Oryza sativa Japonica Group: one gene and its partner. Each later gene encodes a partner of the first gene's protein in a complex. Links are inferred from orthologs where the notes say so. Each region holds a gene or a part of one and is shown on either strand. Other genes may lie near its edges. The genes, in order: nuclear-pore anchor and nuclear pore complex protein NUP58.

Evidence for each region.
Region 2: nuclear-pore anchor (region 1) and nuclear pore complex protein NUP58 share a complex: the UniProt entries of both Arabidopsis thaliana proteins name them as parts of the nuclear pore complex. The link is inferred for Oryza sativa Japonica Group from reciprocal best matches to the Arabidopsis thaliana genes NUA and AT4G37130.

What each region holds. Positions count from the first base shown.
Region 1 is NC_089036.1:31,505,369-31,514,787, reverse strand, and holds part of nuclear-pore anchor, read left to right. Parts: intron 1-598; coding exon 599-691; intron 692-2,050; coding exon 2,051-2,203; intron 2,204-2,299; coding exon 2,300-2,353; intron 2,354-3,252; coding exon 3,253-3,366; intron 3,367-3,733; coding exon 3,734-3,811; intron 3,812-3,901; coding exon 3,902-4,051; intron 4,052-4,698; coding exon 4,699-4,770; intron 4,771-5,747; coding exon 5,748-5,894; intron 5,895-5,970; coding exon 5,971-6,024; intron 6,025-6,112; coding exon 6,113-6,200; intron 6,201-6,288; coding exon 6,289-6,356; intron 6,357-6,423; coding exon 6,424-6,531; intron 6,532-8,110; coding exon 8,111-8,173; intron 8,174-8,285; coding exon 8,286-8,463; intron 8,464-8,816; coding exon 8,817-9,419. UniProt on the Arabidopsis thaliana protein: Component of the nuclear pore complex. Acts as a docking site for activities required for desumoylation and mRNA export. Required for the proper expression or localization of a subset of miRNAs.
Region 2 is NC_089043.1:21,389,312-21,398,830, reverse strand, and holds nuclear pore complex protein NUP58, read left to right. Parts: upstream 1-3,768; 5' UTR 3,769-3,851; coding exon 3,852-4,120; intron 4,121-4,738; coding exon 4,739-4,853; intron 4,854-4,928; coding exon of another isoform or gene 4,929-4,948; intron 4,949-5,066; coding exon of another isoform or gene 5,067-5,523; exon of another isoform or gene 5,524-5,953; intron 5,954-7,134; coding exon 7,135-7,575; intron 7,576-7,827; coding exon 7,828-8,332; intron 8,333-8,830; coding exon 8,831-8,871; intron 8,872-9,028; coding exon 9,029-9,061; 3' UTR 9,062-9,345; downstream 9,346-9,519. Other genes in the region: zinc finger A20 and AN1 domain-containing stress-associated protein 12-like, read right to left, coding at 4,929-4,948, 5,067-5,523. UniProt on the Arabidopsis thaliana protein: Involved in nucleocytoplasmic trafficking. May have regulatory roles in the gibberellin pathway, in auxin signaling and in light perception.

The DNA of each region.
Region 1 (9,419 bases):
TGTCTTGGACAGATCTAAAGGGATGTGTTATTTGTGGCTGAACTACCCTTAAATTAGGAGAAATAAACCTTACCAGCTAATGCTTAATTTATGACGCTAGGTCTGCTAGGTGTGGCGTTACACGCTTCTGTGGTGCTTGCCCCAGTTGTCATAGCCTCACATTTTAGCTAAAGTGTTGTGCTTGATCTGGCTGCTGCAAGCCCCAGGCAAGGAACCAAATAACGTCAAGAAGTCTTTTAAAAGTTACACCTTGTACCTTCCCACTTGTTGATCCAACCTTTTTGTGGATAAAAATGGTCTTATGGCATCTAAAATTCAAAGCACACAGATTAGCGATTACCACTAGTTCTTTGCTGGTGTTCAATAAAACCTTTGCAATTTTTGACAAATCGGGTGAATCAGTCGAGGAATAGTTCAATGTGTCTACCTTTCTGATATTTCTATTCTGTGCATAACAGCAGTAATCTGGCTATACCTATACTACTTATGTTGCTTTTGGAATAGATTCATGATTAGTGATAACTTATCCTGATCGAGCTGTTCATAGGAACTAATCATCATTTGTTGTAACTAATCGACACTGCAAATACTTTTTCAGGATGGTCTAAGAACCCTTGGAGAGCAAGAAAAGATAGAGCTGGTGAAAGGAAAGGATGAGGCCTTGCAGAAATACAATGAGCTAAATGATCAGGTTTAAAAGCTTGTAGCTATCGATATCCAGTTATTCTTAAAACATTCACGTTTTTAGAATGTTATCTGATCTCCATGTTTCACTACCAAGAGCAAAAGTGGGATTTTACAAACCTAAGGGAGCTGCTTATATAGCATTGACATTAAACAACTCAAACATGAAACAAAATCCTGGCAATAGCAACAAAAGAAAAAGGGTGGATACTCCAGAGACTTCACATCCTGATTGTTGTTCCTTCCTTCCAGCCATGACTGAACCTCACTTTCGACTTGTTCTAGTAGCTTTGCTCCACCTGCTGCGCGCTTCTGTTTTCTTCTGACTTCTGCAAGAAGTACCAGTTAGTAACCCAGAAACTAACAGGAAAACTCATTTCAAATAGCCCCACTAAATGGCTGAAATCCCCGCGACAAAGTATCTGCTTTCTGTTTTGAAATGGAATACCCATTTCTCTTTAAAGAATAAAATGAAACACCCATTCTTCTAGCACCTGCAGCACATATCGAAGAATATTGTTAAAACCACGGGAACAGCTTAAGACACCCCCATTTTTGGCATTTATGATCTTTTCCAATCCTTTTCTACACAGCGATCTTTGGTTATATACTCTTTTTAGCGTTAACAAAACACAAATTTTGATTTGAGAGGAATCCTGATTTTCCACAAAATATTGTGTGCAAATTCCACTACTATCAATTCCAACCACAATTTCGGAATTACTGGGATTAGTTTGGCATAGGAACCAGAATTGATTGGTTTGATTACTATAATGCTTAATTGATTATGGGATGGGTGTCGAATTTATGGACTTCTACATGCACATTTTGAGGGGTATGTATTTTATACCTACCTATTGAGAACATACATATGAATATTTTTTAATGATACAAATAAAATTTAATAAGGCACTTGTCTACATGGTGCTTTACACTAGGGTTTCATGGGCTTATTTTTTGTTTTTTTTAACATGCTTGATAACTATTTTCATAACAGTTGCCTGTTTCGACTTTCGAGCCTTAATATAAACACTGCCTTACAAAATCAGTATATCACTACAGTAACTGATTGTACTAGTATATGCTTAATTCGTTGGCAAGATAATGCTGGATTAATCTTGTTTTTCTGGTCTAAAAGATGTTCAGCATATTTAAACCATAATCTAGAATGGTTACTGGTTGTAGTTGGTTGCCATTCATATTTTTTGTTTGCTTCCATTGCATGTCCTTCCGTTCTGTATATAAACACGGGTGGTCGTTAGTTGCCATTCGTGAAGATCACATGAATATACATTCTTGCTATTTTCTGTACTTGATGACAGTGGGTTACCATGAATCACATATTTTCTTCAAATGCTGAATGCAGAATAAAATTCTACACAATCAACTAGAAGCTTTGCACATTAGATTAGCTGAAAAAGAACGCAATATTGCTGGTCTTTCATCGCAACGCATTGATTCACATGGTGAAGATGATTTGCATAGCGTCATTGGCTACCTGCGCAGATCGAAAGAAATAGTGAGTATAAGATTCAGTGTCCTCTTCTTCTTTATTATTCCTCTACTTGGAATGGGATGTTATTTATGTAGTCTGATGGTAATTTCACTATTTCAGGCAGAAACCGAGATATCTTTGCTTAAACAGGAGAAGTCACGGCTTCAGATAGAAGTATGATCTGCTTGCTCTTGCATATTGTTATTTGTTCAAATACCCATAATTGTGCCACGTCAACTACTGTACTCCTCCATCCACAAAAGTTACACATTTTACTTTTGTCACCAAGACCATGAAGAAATTAAATTATCTTGGATGCTACAACATCAAGGAGTGAATGCAAGCATGCAACCAATGAGTATTTAGATGACTACTTGGGTTCTCATCAAACATTTAATTTATCTCTTCATTTAAGTCTTAAATACATAAAGATTACAAATAGGTACAACTTATTTGGAAAAACTCAAATGTGAAATATGTCTAACTTTTGTGGATGGAGTAAAACAGAACTCTACCTATGCTTACTTGAATTGTATGTAATTATAAAGGAACTGTTCTGTTTCTTTTGTTTTATGTAGTATGGTGACTGCGAATATTGAACTGCCACCTGCCAGACTTTGTTGTTTTGTCATTTTGTTCCATGCTCCCATTTAATCTGCCCATAGGACAATTCCATGAAGTTTCCACTGTTTGACCCATCATATTTGGCATTTGGTATCATCATGGAACCAATCCATATGGCCTTGTCTCCTTTGTGTGATTGCTTGCCAAGCTTGTCTCATTTAACTTGATCCTATGGCTCCACTCTGGTCTTGTATGAACATGTCATGTGCCTCTGTACTTTCAACACATAACTGAAAGTTATGCATTATTGTTCAATCTGTTTGTCTTGCATGATTTGAGAACTTGTTTTCACTCCTCATTTTGACTATATGATTTCCTATTATGTGTTTTTGTCTGATGTAGTTTTATCTGTGTGCCTTCCATGATATTAGAACCGTTTCCGTGCTTGATTTTGTGGGGGCAGCTTAAGGTGTTTCTAATCTGCTATAATTTTTTTCATGCTTATATAGTTGGAAAGTGCATTGAAGTCCACAAAGGAGGCACAGGACTTGCTCCGCAGTCAAACTGATAGTGCAAGAACATCAATGCTCAAGGATGAAGAATTCAAGTCACTGCAATTCCAGGTGCCATTCTTGTCGACTCCCTCCTCAAAATATCGCTATTTCTAGTGCTTAAATTTTGTCCCAGAATATAGCTATTTCTATAGTCCTACTTTCCCCACCAAACACTCGTCTGCTTTTCACTCACCTCCATTCCTCCAACTATCCCTCATTTATTTATTTATTTATTTATTTATTTTTTGGGGGGGGGGGCATCATAGTCTTTTCCGTTGATCGTTAAATCTCTCCAAAAAAGCCACAAGTTATATTTTAGGGCGGAGAGTGTATTGGGTATCTGTCATGACTGCTCCCTTTCTCTTGATTTTACTGTTGCTCTCTTATTCCTTTTTTGTAGCTTGTTTTCTTTTGTATTAAAAATGCTTTACCTCAGGTGAGAGAGCTTAATTTGCTTCGTGAAAGCAATATACAGCTTAGAGAGGAGAACAAGCATAATTTCGAAGAATGCCAGGTAAGTTTATTGATGTTGTCTTGTTTATTTCTTTTATGGTGCATGTTTTGATGTGCTTCATTGTTCTTTTTTTTTCTCTCCTGGGTTCAGAAATTCCATGATGAGGCTCAAAAGGCTAAAATGGAAGCTGAAAGGTTGCATAATCTTTTACTGGAAAAGCAGGTAGATGCTGAAATATGTAAAAAAGAAATAGAGATGCAGAAGACCGAAATAGCTAATCTAAATCAAAAGATTTCCGAGGTATGTTATTTACCCATTATCATTATGCAACGCATCATGAATATAATTGGTTTATTTATATGCGGTTAGCATTTCCTTAAGGTAGCTGACATTTGATACATGACCTTTTCTAATAAATAATAAATAAGAATTAAAATATAGCACTGTAGCAGCTAATGTTGTACTAGTACATTAGATAGAGACCATGCCAGGTCAAAAAATATTTTCTTGAACTGGAGGAAGCAAACCCTCAAATGCTGATGCTAGTTTTTTTTAGGAAACTTACATCTAAGCTAGGCAGCGCTTGTGTGGAAATGTGCGTTTGTGTACATCTGACTTGATATTCTTGGTGCTACTTGTGTCTTCACTTTCTGTCATTGGTTTTGTTATGAATGGAGGGACTTTAGGATTAGTTGCCCAGTGCATGTGCACAGAAAAGGGTGTCTGAACAGCAGACCGGTGTGCCGGTGTGTACATCGAGCAGGGGTTCTTGCATTGTGTATAAATTCAGTTTATGTTTTACCTCTTCATCAGTTAGTCTTGAATAGAATTTGTCTAGTGTTTCCCAAAGTTCTAACATTATTATTAACATTGTTATAAGCTTGCTATTATCATTGTTCTATCAGGTATTTTGTTTTGACTCTTATGTCAACTTTATTCTTCTGCAGTTGGTTGAAAATAGTAGAGGCGTTGATTTGAGCACATATGAGACCATGAAGGATGAACTTCAAAACATAAAAGTTAGTGGTTTTTTTTATTATTTTTATCTTTTCAAATCATTTTGATAAGTATTTTTAGTTATTATGTTATACTTATTCTTTTGGTGATTGAATTTGGTCTGAACATATTTTTTGTTCTATAAATTGTACTCTGATCCAAGATATAAGAACTTCTGGTATTCTTGGGGATTAAGGAAAGAGGTGAAATTGAATTGGGGATGGTTGCGATTAGTTGAGATGAGGAAACAAGTAGAGAAATTAGATGAGAAATGGTTGTGATTAGTTGGGATGGGGGAGTAGGTGAAGTTGCTATATTTTGGGACATTGAGAGTACTGATAAAATAATACTACATTTGTTCTTTTGTATGCTGGTTTGACTAGAGATCAACTGTTTAATGAAGCATTCGGTTCTGAACCTAGTTCAAGCTTGGAATCAGATAGCTACGGTAAAGAATAGGGAAAATGACCATTGGTGAGACAATTAGAGGGAGGGGACAGACAATATAGTCTGGAATAAGAACTTTTGAAGCGAAACATACTTTCTAATTATTATCGGCTATCGCTGGTATTGGACTTGTTATGCCCTTTCATGCGCATATGCTGCTCGTTTTCTAATTATTGATGGCAGTTGAGTTAGTTTCCCACTTTTCTCAACTTCTAATCGCTCGTTTTCCACACGCACACTTTTCAAACTGCTAAACAGTGTGTTTTTGAAAAAAAAACATATATATCGATTTTCAACTTTTTTTTTAAATAATACTTAATTAATCATGCTCTAATGAGTAGCCCAGTTTTCCATGCAGGAGGGATAAGTTCTCAACCTGTATTAACGAACACAGCCTTAGTGATATATAACACTGATACTGATGTACATCCCTTAATTAGCATGGATGGCTGGCTTAAATTTCATTATTTGGTCAATACGACTGAACTTAATGAGTTTGTAAGGTTGAGTTTTGTGATAAACGATTATCACATGTATTTCTTAAATACAACAGGCAACCTTGAGAGAGAATTCGGCAGAGCTAGAGCGCACAAAAAAACTTCTTTCTGAGAAGGATTCTGTAATAAGAAATTTGGAGGAAAAGCTTGCTGGATGTCAGTCTGAATTGGATGCTAGGGAAAAGAAGCTGAATGATGTTGAGGTCTGATATAATTTCCAGTAACATTCTCCTGGCCATTTTTACTTTAGTTGTATTAGTAATGCCTTTCCTTTTGCAGGCTAGCCTTAAATCTGAAATTGACAGACATAGGAAGATTAATATCAACATAAAGGTTAGGATCTTTCCCTTGTTCTTCTATTGCAAGATCGAAAGTTCATTGCTGTTTTCATGTGCTTATATCATCCTATTAAATAATGTAGAGGAAGCTTGATGCATCAGCAAAAGAGAAGGAGGAACTGACGAAAGAAAAACAAAGCCTTTCAAAGCAATTGGAAGATCTCAAATCAAGTACTTAATTAATCTTATTACTTTCACACAACCACCTGAATTATATATTTTGTATGATCACTCATGTTTTAAATTTGATATACTTTAGCAGGTCAGAAAACTACAACAGAAAATTCAAATGAACAGGCCATCAAAGAAAAGGACTTCAGGATACAGGTCAGGAGGTTGTGATTTTTATGAACATGAACTCCTTCAGGTTTCTTACATAAACATATATTAACAGACATTGGAAAAAGTCTTGGAGAAAGAGAGAGATGATAATAAGAAAGAAAAAGCATTCCGCAGAAGGAATGAGAAAGTATTTACTACCGCCATTCAAAATATGAATCAGGTATTTCTTCCTCAACTAGCCTGAGTACAGTCTTGTCTTAAAAATTTTTTTGTTTATCGTCAGTTGGGTTTAGATTGAGCACCAAATTTATCATGGAACTACTGATTTAATACAGATTGTCACAAAGCTACACATTAAGTAGCAAATTTGTCACAAAGCTACTGGTTTATTGCCAATTTAATCCCAAAACTACAACGTCTATATCTTCAACATAACTGTAGTGCTAGGGATTGAAAATCTAAAATCTGTAGTTTTTTTATAACTTGAGCAATAAATCTGTAGTTTTGTGATACTTCTCCCTAAATCTGTACCTGATAGCTTTGGGGGAGTGGATTCTAATCCCTTGAGGGGATGTCCCGTCGTGTACCTTTTTCTTTCAAATTCGATACAAATAGTTGTAAAAATTTATGAAAAAAATTCGACCTACTATTTATATCTCTCGACGTGTGCGTTGCGTTTGGACCTAAGATTTTATGGAGTTGTATACTTATGTTGTATGAGTGTTGTCGATCTTTTCCAGAATTTTTCATAACCATTTGGATGGTTTTTAAGCAAACAAGGGGACATCCCTCGAGGGATCAAAATAGTTTCCCTAGTTTTGGCACTAAATGTATAGTTTTGTGATTTGTCTTAAATCCGTAGTTTGTGAAATTTTCTCCTTTTTTTTAACCGATGCAGTAGATTTTCTAATAAGAAAAGCCAAGGAAGTAGACATTAAGATAATGAAAGATTGATATGTTGACATGTTCACAGATGAACTTAGAAAAATGAAAAACTTAATGTGTTCTGGGATATACAAGATGAAACTTTTAAGTAGGATGTTTTAGTGTATTCTAGAGTTGGAAAGTTGGCATCATTATGAATGTTCTAAAGAATAAGTGCCATTTTAAACCTTACCAAAAAATTGGCAAGCCAAATTTTGGTAAAGTTTGAGTGTTTGGTTTATAACCAAGTTTTTGTCAATGTTGCTTGTGATGTATTGATTGTTTTTGCCAAAATATTGGCAACACAAAATCTATGGCAACAAACCAAACACACACATTTTCTTGCCCTTGCCAATTTTTTTGTATAGTTTGTTTGGGCTATAAACCAAATGCTAAGTGTTCATGTCCATTGCCAAACCAACCCTGAGTATTAAGCCTATCATTATGATCTACACTTTTCGTTACATTTTCTTCTATTGAATGATTTCTTAGAATATGAAATTTCACTGTTTAAAGCTTGCAAATGTAGCATCATTTGAGTTTGCTAATGGTTAATGTTTAGCATGATCACAGGCAATTATAGTACACTATAGTAAATTATTGTCTGGGGTTTGCTTATTGGCTTTTCAGGCCATGTCCCATTCCTGTGATAGCCCTTAATGATCAGTTAGCATGCATTGCAGCTTGCTCCAACCTGTTTCCTTAGTATTTACTCGTATTTGTTACCTAATGATACATGATGTGTACCTATTAAAAATGCAACATAACAACTTCATAGTTGCTTGTTTCTCCAATAATTAATCTGTCCTGCCTGGTTAGTGTGTGGTATATGCGCACCCTCTAATCCACTTGTTGCTTTCGAAAATTAATTGCAGGAAAGGAAACAAGTAGAGGAATCAATTGAGAAGCATAGGCAGGCTGTGAAAGAGGTGATTGAGGTACAGTTTATCTGCTCCCATAGATTTCATGTTTCATTATTGCTGCTGCAAATGAAAGTTCCTAGTATATTTTATTTAGAGCTTTGCTACAGCTGATGTGCGTTCTCTGCAGCATTATACTGGAATATCCTCTCAAATCCCATCTGGATCTGCAATCGATGAGCAGCTGCGTTCATATTTCCTTGCCATCAAAGCTGTTGAGGAGTCTCCGAGTCCCTTCCAAGATGGTGCAGCAAGCCAGACACCATCTGTTGAAAGTGCCGATGTGGATGCATCTGCAGCTACTGCAGGTTCCTTTCTGTTCAATTTTTCATTCCACGCTGCTAGTGTATATTTAATGATCTCTATTAGTTAATCATAGTATCTGTTAATGACATGTGATACTTACTAGTTCAGAAATTATATTAGATCTGATCTATTACATGTACTCTTGAACTCGATGTGAATTTGGTTTTGAATGATTTGGCATGTCAGATATTGTTCGGACTTCGGAATGTGATATGATATTGGATTTCTAATGCATCATTTTCTTGCATTGGTTCCATCGCGTGGATCTGAATAATGTGTTTTTCCTTTGCTTTACCGTCACTTGATCAATATGGTAGTTCATAAGGCTGCTGCTTTTTTTTTTTTCTAATCTCAGGGAGACAGGTAGCTACTCCACCAAGGCCTGCTCAAGTTAAAGTGGTGGAGGAGAGAGCAGTTTCTACTTTGCCCAAACCAAGCACTGAAGTACGTAGACCAGGAGGAAGGAGACCACTTGTTCGACCTTCACTTGAACGAGTTGAAGAACCCCAAGCTGATATTGATACAACAGTAGTTGAAGGTTCCACAGAGAAAGGCGGCTTGTTGATGGAGCGTGAAACTCCTGGTGGTGTATCTGCGTTACAGCCATCAAGTCGTAAACGTCTAATTCCATCACCACAAACGAGAGATGATGCTTCACAAGGAGAGACAACGGATGCCAATCCACCACTGAAGAAACCCAAAGAAGGATCTTCACAATGTACTAGTGAGCTAAAAACTGAACAGTCACCTCATGAAGATGTCATGGCACCTGTTCCTGTGCTACCATCTACAGAGTTAGATGAGCAACAGCCTGGAGAAGAGATGGACACCGATCAGTCTTCCTTGCCAGTTGAAGAGGTTGAGGAAACAAGGGAGGATGACTTGGGTGATAAGGATGACATGGAAACACATATAGACGCTTCAATGGACATCCAAGGACAAGATGCAGAAACTGGTA
Region 2 (9,519 bases), on another chromosome or scaffold:
CTGATGATTTGGAAGCCAAAATTCCTGTCTACTGGAGATCGTCTGACTCTGATCAAGTCTGTCCTGTTTGCCTTGCCGGTGCACTACCTCTCGGTGCTTGAGCTGCCACAGTGTTCGATCAAAGAGATTAATAGAAAGTGTCGGGGGTTCCTGTGGAAGGGGCAGGAGGAGGTGAGTGGCGGACATTGTTTGGTGGCTTGGAAAGCGGTTTGTATGCCGTTTGAAAAGGGAGGGTTGGGTATAAAAAGCCTGGACTTCTTTGGCAAAGCGCTTCGGCTCAAGTGATTGGCTAAGAAGGGTGAGCAGCAAGACCGGCCTTGGACAACAGTTGCGACTGTGGAGCCGAAAGATCTGAGAGACCTCTACTACTCAGCATCACGGCAAGAGGTAGGAGATGGAAAAAACACGAAGTTTCGGCTTGCGGACTGGTTGCCAATGGGAAGCATAAAATCGAGGTTCCAGTTGATTTTCAGCCATGTGGAACGCACCGGCTTGACAGTGGCTCAGGGGTTGAGGAACCACAGGTGGGTGTGTGACATCAAAGGTGCGCCATCTAATCGAGCCATCGGGGAGTATTTTCAGATTTGGGATGCAGTCCAGGAGGTGCAGGTGCAAGGGGGAGAGGAGGATGTGACTGTTTGGAAGAGGGCTGCAAATGGGAAGTTCACCCCTGCTTCGGCTTACGAACTGTTCTTCATGGCAAATACAGAAGCGAGATGTGGCAGTCTGATTTGGCACACTAGAGAACCTTCCAAAGTGAAATTTTTTATGTGGTTGGCCGAGAGGGAGGTGTCTCACGGCCGACAATCTCACCAAGCGAGGATGGCCACACCAACAATCCTGCCCCCTCTGCATGAGCAATGACGAAGATTGCGAGCACCTCTTTGTCTCCTGTCCTTACACTTCAAATGTCTGGAGAAAGATCAAGGGTTGGATCGGTGCCGGGTTCCAGCTGCCGGCAGAGCTCGGATTGGACCTTGGAGATTGGTGGTTGGAGTGGTGGCAGGTCTTTCAAACCAGCCAGAGGAGCGCATTTGACACTTTAGTGCTGCTGGTCTGTTGGATGATTTGGAAGGAAAGAAACGCTCAGAGCCGAACAGCGGGGTTCCTGTTTGGCGCAATTAAAGATGAAGCGGCAATCTAGAAAGAAGCTGGGGTTTTCAATGTTTTAGGAGAGTAACAACCTTCTGTAACTTGTTTTTCTTTTAGGAAGTTGCTGCGATGGCAACATCCTTTCACTTCGACAGCCTCTTGTCGAAGTCTGAAACTTGTATATGTGTAAATACCCCTTTTCTTAAGTAAATTTGGTCCGCCTATCTTAGGCCGGCCTGGCTAAAATATGGTCTGATGATCTGATCTGCTATCACGAGGGCAGTTCTGACGTCCAACAAGTCCACAACGCATGGTATCTGCTACCAAGTGCTGCCCATGATTCCTTGTTGGTAAAATTTATCTTTGTTATGCTGCTACCATTGGATCATTTTCAATTCTCAGTTGCTTATCTACACAATGAAATTGATGTTTTTTTACCTTCGTTTTTCAATCATGGAATTGATATTTAATATCTCATGTGCTAGATGATGCCTCATGCCCTCACCTGCTCATGCTCGTTTCCATGTCAAGTTAATAGTACTACCAAAATTTACTTATGCTATGTCATATATGAAAGCTGATTTGATATAACTGGTTGCTAGGGGGAACAAAGCTCTTGCACACTTGGCTTGGAGCATTAAGGCAATTGCACCATAACAGAAGCGGACCAAAATATACCTTATCTAGTTATCTGGCTGCTTGCACCACACTATTGTTTTATCCTTCTGTTCTTAAAATCTGCATCTTATGACTGCCCAAGTGATAGCTATGACCTTGTGGGTCAGGTGAATTTAGCGTCATGAAGTGGATGGAACAGTTGGACACTACTTGAATGACCATATGTCCCTGCTGATATGAAGGCTGTAACAAAGCACAGGTTGGAAATCTGCTGCAGGTTGTGACAGCACTGCGTATTGGAAATTCAGTTGTTAGACTTTGCTCTAGGATCACCTAGGTTAGATCTAGTCGGGTGGTTCTATTTGGGATTGATGTTTGAACTATAGAGATTGAAAACGGGAGAGGGTTTAGATAGACCGACCGGTTGAGGAGTTCGTGGAGGAAGAGGCGCCGGACATCGTCGTTGTCGTCGCGGCTTGACGTGGATGCGACGCCGGTGAGGTCGACGGCGATGACGGCTGCGGCAGTGGTGGTCGTAGACGTCCCGGCGATGAGGCGTGGCGCGGCGGTGGCGTTTCCCGTCACTGGCTGCGCCCCCTCTCGATCGGATTAGGGTTTTGTGGGGTGGAGTTGGCGGCGGCGGTGAACTTCGTACCTTGTGCCGTGCCGGCCTCCACCCCTCTTTTATATGGCGCAGTGTGACGGGGGCCCACCAGCCATTGGGCTGGGCGCCCCCCGATCAGGGCGCGGTCAAGGCCCTCTTGAGCCGTTGGGCTCAAGGGGAGGGAGATCTATCTAACATCAGTTACTGCGAGATTTCATCAGATGGAACTTAGAGCTTCGTTTTTGTCTTCTGGTTTTCATTCTTCAGTTAATCTGTGATAAATTGAACTTCTACGCATCTCAATTTATATTAGTTATGAGTATCAATATGGTCCTCCAGATACTCTTTTGACGTCTTCAATGTGGATCCGTGACCAAACCTTCGTTTTTTTTTCCATAATGGTAATCTTTTTTTTTGAGGACATTCATAATGGTAATCAGAGTATAATTTTTCCTTGTGAAAAGGTATTGCTGGTGGTATATTAAGGATTTGTAGCATAATTGTCACCATGATTTTTAAATGTTTCGAGCTACGTTTTTGTTGTTTTGGATAATTTGAAATAGAAAAAGGTGAGTACAAAGGAGCTTTGATTCCAACCTTTCCAAAGTGAAATTTAAGCAAAATTTGTTGTTTGGGTATTGCGTTTTAGCTTCATGGTTTTAGCTGTAGAGATTTTTGTAGAATTGGATCTTTGGAGAAATACACTTATAAATTGCAGCGTTTTTGCCACTACACACCGTTACCAATATTTTATTATATTGGCATGGTGAGGAGTGAGGAGACGCGTGAAGGTTTGAAATACCCTTGAGTTATTCCAATTAGGCCAAGTGAAATGTTATTGGAGTATACTCTTGGTACCCGTCTTTGCGAGGTGAGCGTAACGCTAAAATAAATGTTGGGTCAAGCATGTTTAGTTGTAGTCAGGATGATATCATTGCTCACCCAACGAAGTGTAATGGCTCAGTACGCTCGATGAGACAAGCGGTGGCAAACAGGTGTAGGAGCATGCCATGGCACACATTGAGCACCTTTGGGAAATGACGCATGATCTCGGTAGGGAGGTCCGAATCTAGCTCTACCACTGCGTGGACCATCTTACCATCGCGTGGAGCAAAAGCTGACAATGTGTGATAAGGACTTTACCTCACTTAACCACATTTCAAGTGACTGGCTTTTGCTGCGCCAACTACATGTAAACCTATAAAGTCAGAGTATGCATTGGTAAAAAATATCTAAAATGTAATGTTCCTTGCAAAATAAAACGGCAAAAACTTACAGTATGTAGAAATTTCCTTAGTAAGAAAACAATGGAAAGGACAAACGTGAAATTCAATTTTGAAATTCTTCCGACCCGTTTTGCCTCCAGGGGTAAAGCCGTCATCTTAACACTGCCCTCTCAAACCTTTTCGGTTTTTTAGGGTTTAATAACTCTTCGAGCCCACCGTGTCCGGCCCAGAGCCCACTAGCCCCCCTCGATCCCACCGGCGACCTCCCGCCGCCTCCGCCGGGGACAAGCCCCCCTGCGCGCCGCGCTGCAATGGCGTTCTCCTTCGCCTCACCGGCGCCGCAGAATCCGTTCCAGACGCCGGCGCAGGCCCCGTCCCTGTCTCCTTCGCCGTTTCAGTTCAACCTGCAGCAGCCGCAGCAGCAGCAGCAGCAGCCGCCGCCACAGCAACAGGCGGCGCCGGCCGCGCAACCGCAGCAGCAGCAGCTGATGCTATATACGACGGACGGGAAGCCCGCGGGGTACAACACGAAGTGGGAGGAGCTTCACGCCGAGTCGCAGAAGGCGCTGCTCCAGATCGAGTATGGTTTCCCTCCCCGGTTTCCCCTATTTTGTGGCAAATGAGAGTGCTTGTTCGTGATTGAACTTAGTGTTTAAGCGTCTTTGCACTGCAATTTTTTTCTTGATCTGTAGTCAACTAAAATTGCTCCATCTGACTTGGTAAACGCAATCCTTGTTGGTATGCTATTATTATTTTTTTGTTATATGGGTATACTAGTCAGCTTAGGCCCTAGTGGAATTTGCTGCTGCTGGGTTGGTGATAAGGTGGAAAAGTAGTTTCTTTTTTCTGTCTGTGGTTTAGATTTAACGCTTTATGCGATAAGCTTGTGCCTTTACAGTCTCTCAGAGATCAGTTTGCTTTAAACAAATATGTTCTTCTAGCAATATATACTATGGAGGGCTACTGTTTCTGATGGTTTAGCAGATCATTGTTTACTTGGGTTTCAGGGGAAGGGGAAACACGTTTTGTGCTCTATGATCTATGCCATTTGCTACGGATTACTTAAGCTACTGCCTCATTTTGCATTGATGTGGTCAATACATGGGTTTTAGGGTTAGAGAGTTCAGTTTCTCTGTTTTTGTTACCTGTTTGGGACTTGGCATGCTATTGGTGTAATTTTTCACTTTGAATTTTGTAGGGATAAAATAAGGGAGTACAGGGACGAGAGCGAGAGGTTGGATCAGTGTTCTCGCCTTCATGACTCTTCAATCTCAACTGTCAATTTTGAGAATGATGCAAGTGAAATTGCTCAGGTTGGACTTGCTTTTCTTGCTTTTGTCAGTCGTACATGAGACGCTTGATTATGTGAGTCTTTTACCCCTATGCCATTAAGAAAGTTGCTGCTTACCTGTGTGCCACAAAAAAGTTTGGAGTTACGTGTATGCCATGAGCCCAACTTTCGTTGACTCGTGTGCCATTTTGGATGAATGGAGACATAACAGAGGTGTTAGGGGCTGTGTAAAGACAGTTTTGCCCTTGCAGCCCCACCTTCTTCCGGCACGCCACGCACCTGTTCGGCTTCGCCGGCGCCGTCGACGATGATGCGGCGGCGGTTGCCTCCTCCTTCCCCTTGAGCGACGACGTCGGCGCCGTGGCGGCCGGAGTCATGGGGACGATGATGTTGGGAGTGGAGGCGGTGGCGGTGGCCGGCGACGTCGCCTTGAGGTGGTCGCGGTAGCACTTGGAGCACATGTTCTTGGTCTCCTTGCTGCTGAAGAACCCACAGCTGCTCGCGCACAGCGCTAGCTGCTCGTCGGCGGCGGCGGCGGCCGTGCTCGCCTCCTCCTCCTTGTTCGCGACGTCAGGCGCCGCGGCGGCAACCGCCGCTGACGACGCCGCCTCCTTGAGTTGGTCCCGGTAGCACTTGGAGCAGAGGTTCTTGGTCGCCTCGCTGCCGAAGAACCCGCACCCGTTCGTGCACATCGGCGCGCCGCCGCCGCCCGCCGCCGCTAGCTAGCCCGATGCTACAAGTGGTGACGGTGTAGCCGCGCTCCGGTCACCGGAGAGATCAGTCGTCAGCCCTCGCGGCCGGTGCTTGCTGGAGAGATCTCGCCGGCCTGGGCGCACGGCGACGGGTCCGGCGAGGCCAGGCGGCGGCGACGGGTCCGGCTCTGCTAGGCGGCGGCGGCGGCGTGCGGCTAGGGTTAGGGTGCGGCGGCGTGCGGCGCAATGGGGAGAGAGCAGGCACTCCACGGGAGATAGCAGGAGAGGAGAATAGAGCTGAAAATCCTTCAGGGGCAAATTAGTCATTTTCATACATGGTCCCACATGTCAGAACTACAAAACCGTTAAGTTGTAACAGAAGGTGGACGGAATGGCACACGGGTCAACGAAAGTTTTTCTCATGGCATACAGGTGACTCCAAACTTTTTTGTGGCACATAGGTAAGCAGGAACTTTTTTAATGGCATAGGGGTAAAAGACTCTGATTATGTTGGTCCTATTTCGTAACTGATATGGGATTTTGTCAGTTGACAGTTTAGAAAAATAGCAGAACACTTTCTAGAAGAGATATTTCAGTATTTTTTCACATAGTCAACAGTAGAAAGAATGAGATGCCTACACGCATTGTCTTCAAAGAAACATATATTGTACCCATTGGAAAATTGATCAGTTACTGACCAGCGAATTAGAAACTATAAAATCATGCTCAATCACCTTGAGCTCTCTATTGGAGAACTATGTCTCTGCTTCCTCTTCTTTTTAAGGATTAACTGAAAGTAAATATAAACTTTGGGCTGCGAAGATGACAAGAACCTCTATTTTCTGTAATGCTTTAGTTTTGCCCTGAACAATGAACAAATTAGCACAATGGAGTATATTGTTAATGAAACTCGATAAAGAAAATAATCAGCTTATCCCTTGTAGCAAGGTTGGGTTCACCATCCTGATTGTGCAGCAGTAAGTGTAATCAGATCATTAACAGGCATTGTTAATTCAAAATCAATATCTACCCTTAAATCTTGAAATGTTCCTGAGCCACAAAATCATAATTAGCTTCAATTTGGATAGCATATCAACGCATCAGTGCTGAAGGGTACATAGTTTTACCTTAAAACTGGAGAGGGAATGAAGTTCATAACTATCTCCTACAACACACATTTTTATTTAGTGGTAATTCATGGTTCTTTTAGTTCATAAGTTGACTAGTTGATAATTATTAGGATTTACTGATTCATGAAATACGAACACATGAATCCATAAAAAACATTCCTAATTACTACCCACTTTGGTCAGAAACTTGTGGAACTTTAAGTATCAAAATCTTTTTCAATATTTAGATTGGAAAATAAAAAAAACATATATGTAGAATACTAGAGTTTTCTTGGTAAGTTTCAACCAAAATACTGTATTTCTGCGGGACTCTATAAATATTTTAAAATAGAATCAGTTGTTAAGGTTCTGTGTGGGAACTGTGTCAATGTCCAAGACAATGTTTTTGTCTAACCATGTAATGTATTTATGATCACAATTTTGTTACATATTCCTTATACCAATCCTTTAATTTATGGCTAAATATTTCCTGCTCTAACAGGAACTTGGAGGGACAACCACCATGATGGAAAGAGAGAAGGCTTCCGTTCAAGAGTTAATGACTGTTGTGAATGAAATGATGCGAAACACAGAATTTGCTATTAGGTCATATATGATGCTGAGACCAAGATTTATCCGTCCAGGTGCTGGAGCAAATGGTGGTGGCTCAAATCCTTCTGGTCCTGCTGGAGCTCAGTCCAATCAGCCAGTAGCATTGGCTCCAACCATTGATTTCTATAGTGGTATCCCAAAGCGGCCTTCCCATTTTATGCAACAGACTATCAACAGGTTTGAGAAATATCTTGGAGAATGCTGCAAGTGGATCGCGGAGCTAGAGCAGCTTGTTCAAATGGAGAACAATAAAAGGCAATCAGCCTCATTAGAATCTCTACCGAAGGTTATGTCGAATGTGCATGATTATTTCATCTATGTTGCTTCTAAGGTAAATCTCCTTTTTCATACACACACTGCAGTTGAACTGTTAAAATGCATTTATTTTGAGGTTCTCCCCCATGATATAAATCATTTATTATGTAATATAGTCATAAAAATAAATGTAAATCTGTAAGTCAACCAAATTTTTTTTGTAACAGCTGTATCTCGTGAAAAAAATAAGAGAGATTGCTTACTTTTAGGCTTGCTGCACTGCCTTGGTGCGATACCCAGTATTTTCTAATGTTTGTATTTTTTTTAGGTGGAAAATCTTCATCAATATGTTGAGTCATTGAAAACTGAATATCTACATGAGCAGCGGCGATTGGGTAATGCCAATGATCCATTTTTAGAGGCAAATAGACGAGAAGCGGCTAAACAAGAAGCAGCTGCCAGAAGGGTACATCCAACATTGCATTTGCCTGCTCCTGTACAGCCCACAACTCAAATTGCTGGAACAGTGACGAGTCAACCACAGCAATCATTGATTCCTTCTGGAGCGACTTCTTCAAGTGCTTTTCCATCATTCAGCACTCCAGCTTCCGCTCCATCTTCTTCAAGTCTCTTTTCAACTCCAACAACTCCAACTCTATCCAGCAACCTTTTTGGTACATCTGGATCAGCCCAGCTGTCCACACCATTTGGGACAGTCTCTACTCCAACGCTTGGATCAACGCCGGCTCCATCTGGATTTGGGAATACAACTCCATCTTTTGCTTCAACGCCCGCTTTAGGTGGAACCTCACTGTTTTCTACGCCGTTCGGAGGTATACAAACTCTCACCATACTATATTTATATTTCCTAACTGTTAGATAGTCATATGCTTATGATAAGTCAGTAGCTATCTGAAAACAATTTGGTACTTTTATGTTGTGAAATTCTCATTTTAGATGATCTCGTCATGGTATATAAACATTTCTGAAGTGTTGGCACATCTACAGTTTGATTTCATCATGGCAATTCATAGCTCTAAATTTGTTGTTATGTTTTTGGTCTGAACTGAAATTTGTTATTGGCAGCAGAGTACACTTAGTTGTCCATTATTTTTCCAAGTGGGTTATATAGCTCAGGCACACCTGCCGTGCATGCCCTTCACTGTTTCTACTCATCTATGGTTACCGTCCATATTGAAATTCACCAGCAATATTCTTCTTTTTATCCTACTTCCAATTGAACTTACAAATATATCTTTTCCTATTCTATACATGCTATGATATCCTGATTTTTGGAAATTGCATGACATTCTAACCTGTGTCTACCTTAGGTGGAGCTACAGCTTCAGGATCCAGCTTTGGTGGTACATCTGTAAGTATAATCTCCATCAATTTATGCAGTATTCTTCCCTTTTCAGCTATAGCAAAGGATATAACCATGTCAAGCATAAGCTGTCCTTTTTATTGTCAATGTTTTATTGTTATATAATTCCCATTTCCCAACACCTTTTTTGTATTGTATGGTGCAGAAAGTGCGGTCAAAACCTCGGGGCCGACGCTAGGTGTAGCTGATGAGCGTGAAATGTGGGTGCCTCTTGTATCTCTTTTTCCTCGTCTTTCATTTTTCCAAGAATGCGCAAAATATTTGCGTCTTTTCATTAAGACAGAGGGAAAGGTTCTCACCAGTGGTTACAAATTGGTCTGAACTATGGAAACATATTTCAGACTCATATTCCTCCTGTCTTATGGAAAGAACTTGTAATTAATTTATCGGTGATTGTAGTGGAGCATGATTGGTTTTGTGACACTTAATAGATTCTAATGTATGTGCCCCATTTCAGTACTATCAGAATGTGCACTTATAACTTACCAATTCTTACCTAGACTTAAATATTTTATATAATAGAAAAACAAGGTTGACATTGGCTTCCAGTAGCTTAAAGCCATTTCAGAGACTTGGTTATGAAGCATGTCAAATGTCTTTTTTTTTTTTAATTCTTCTTTGGTTGACTGTTTAGTG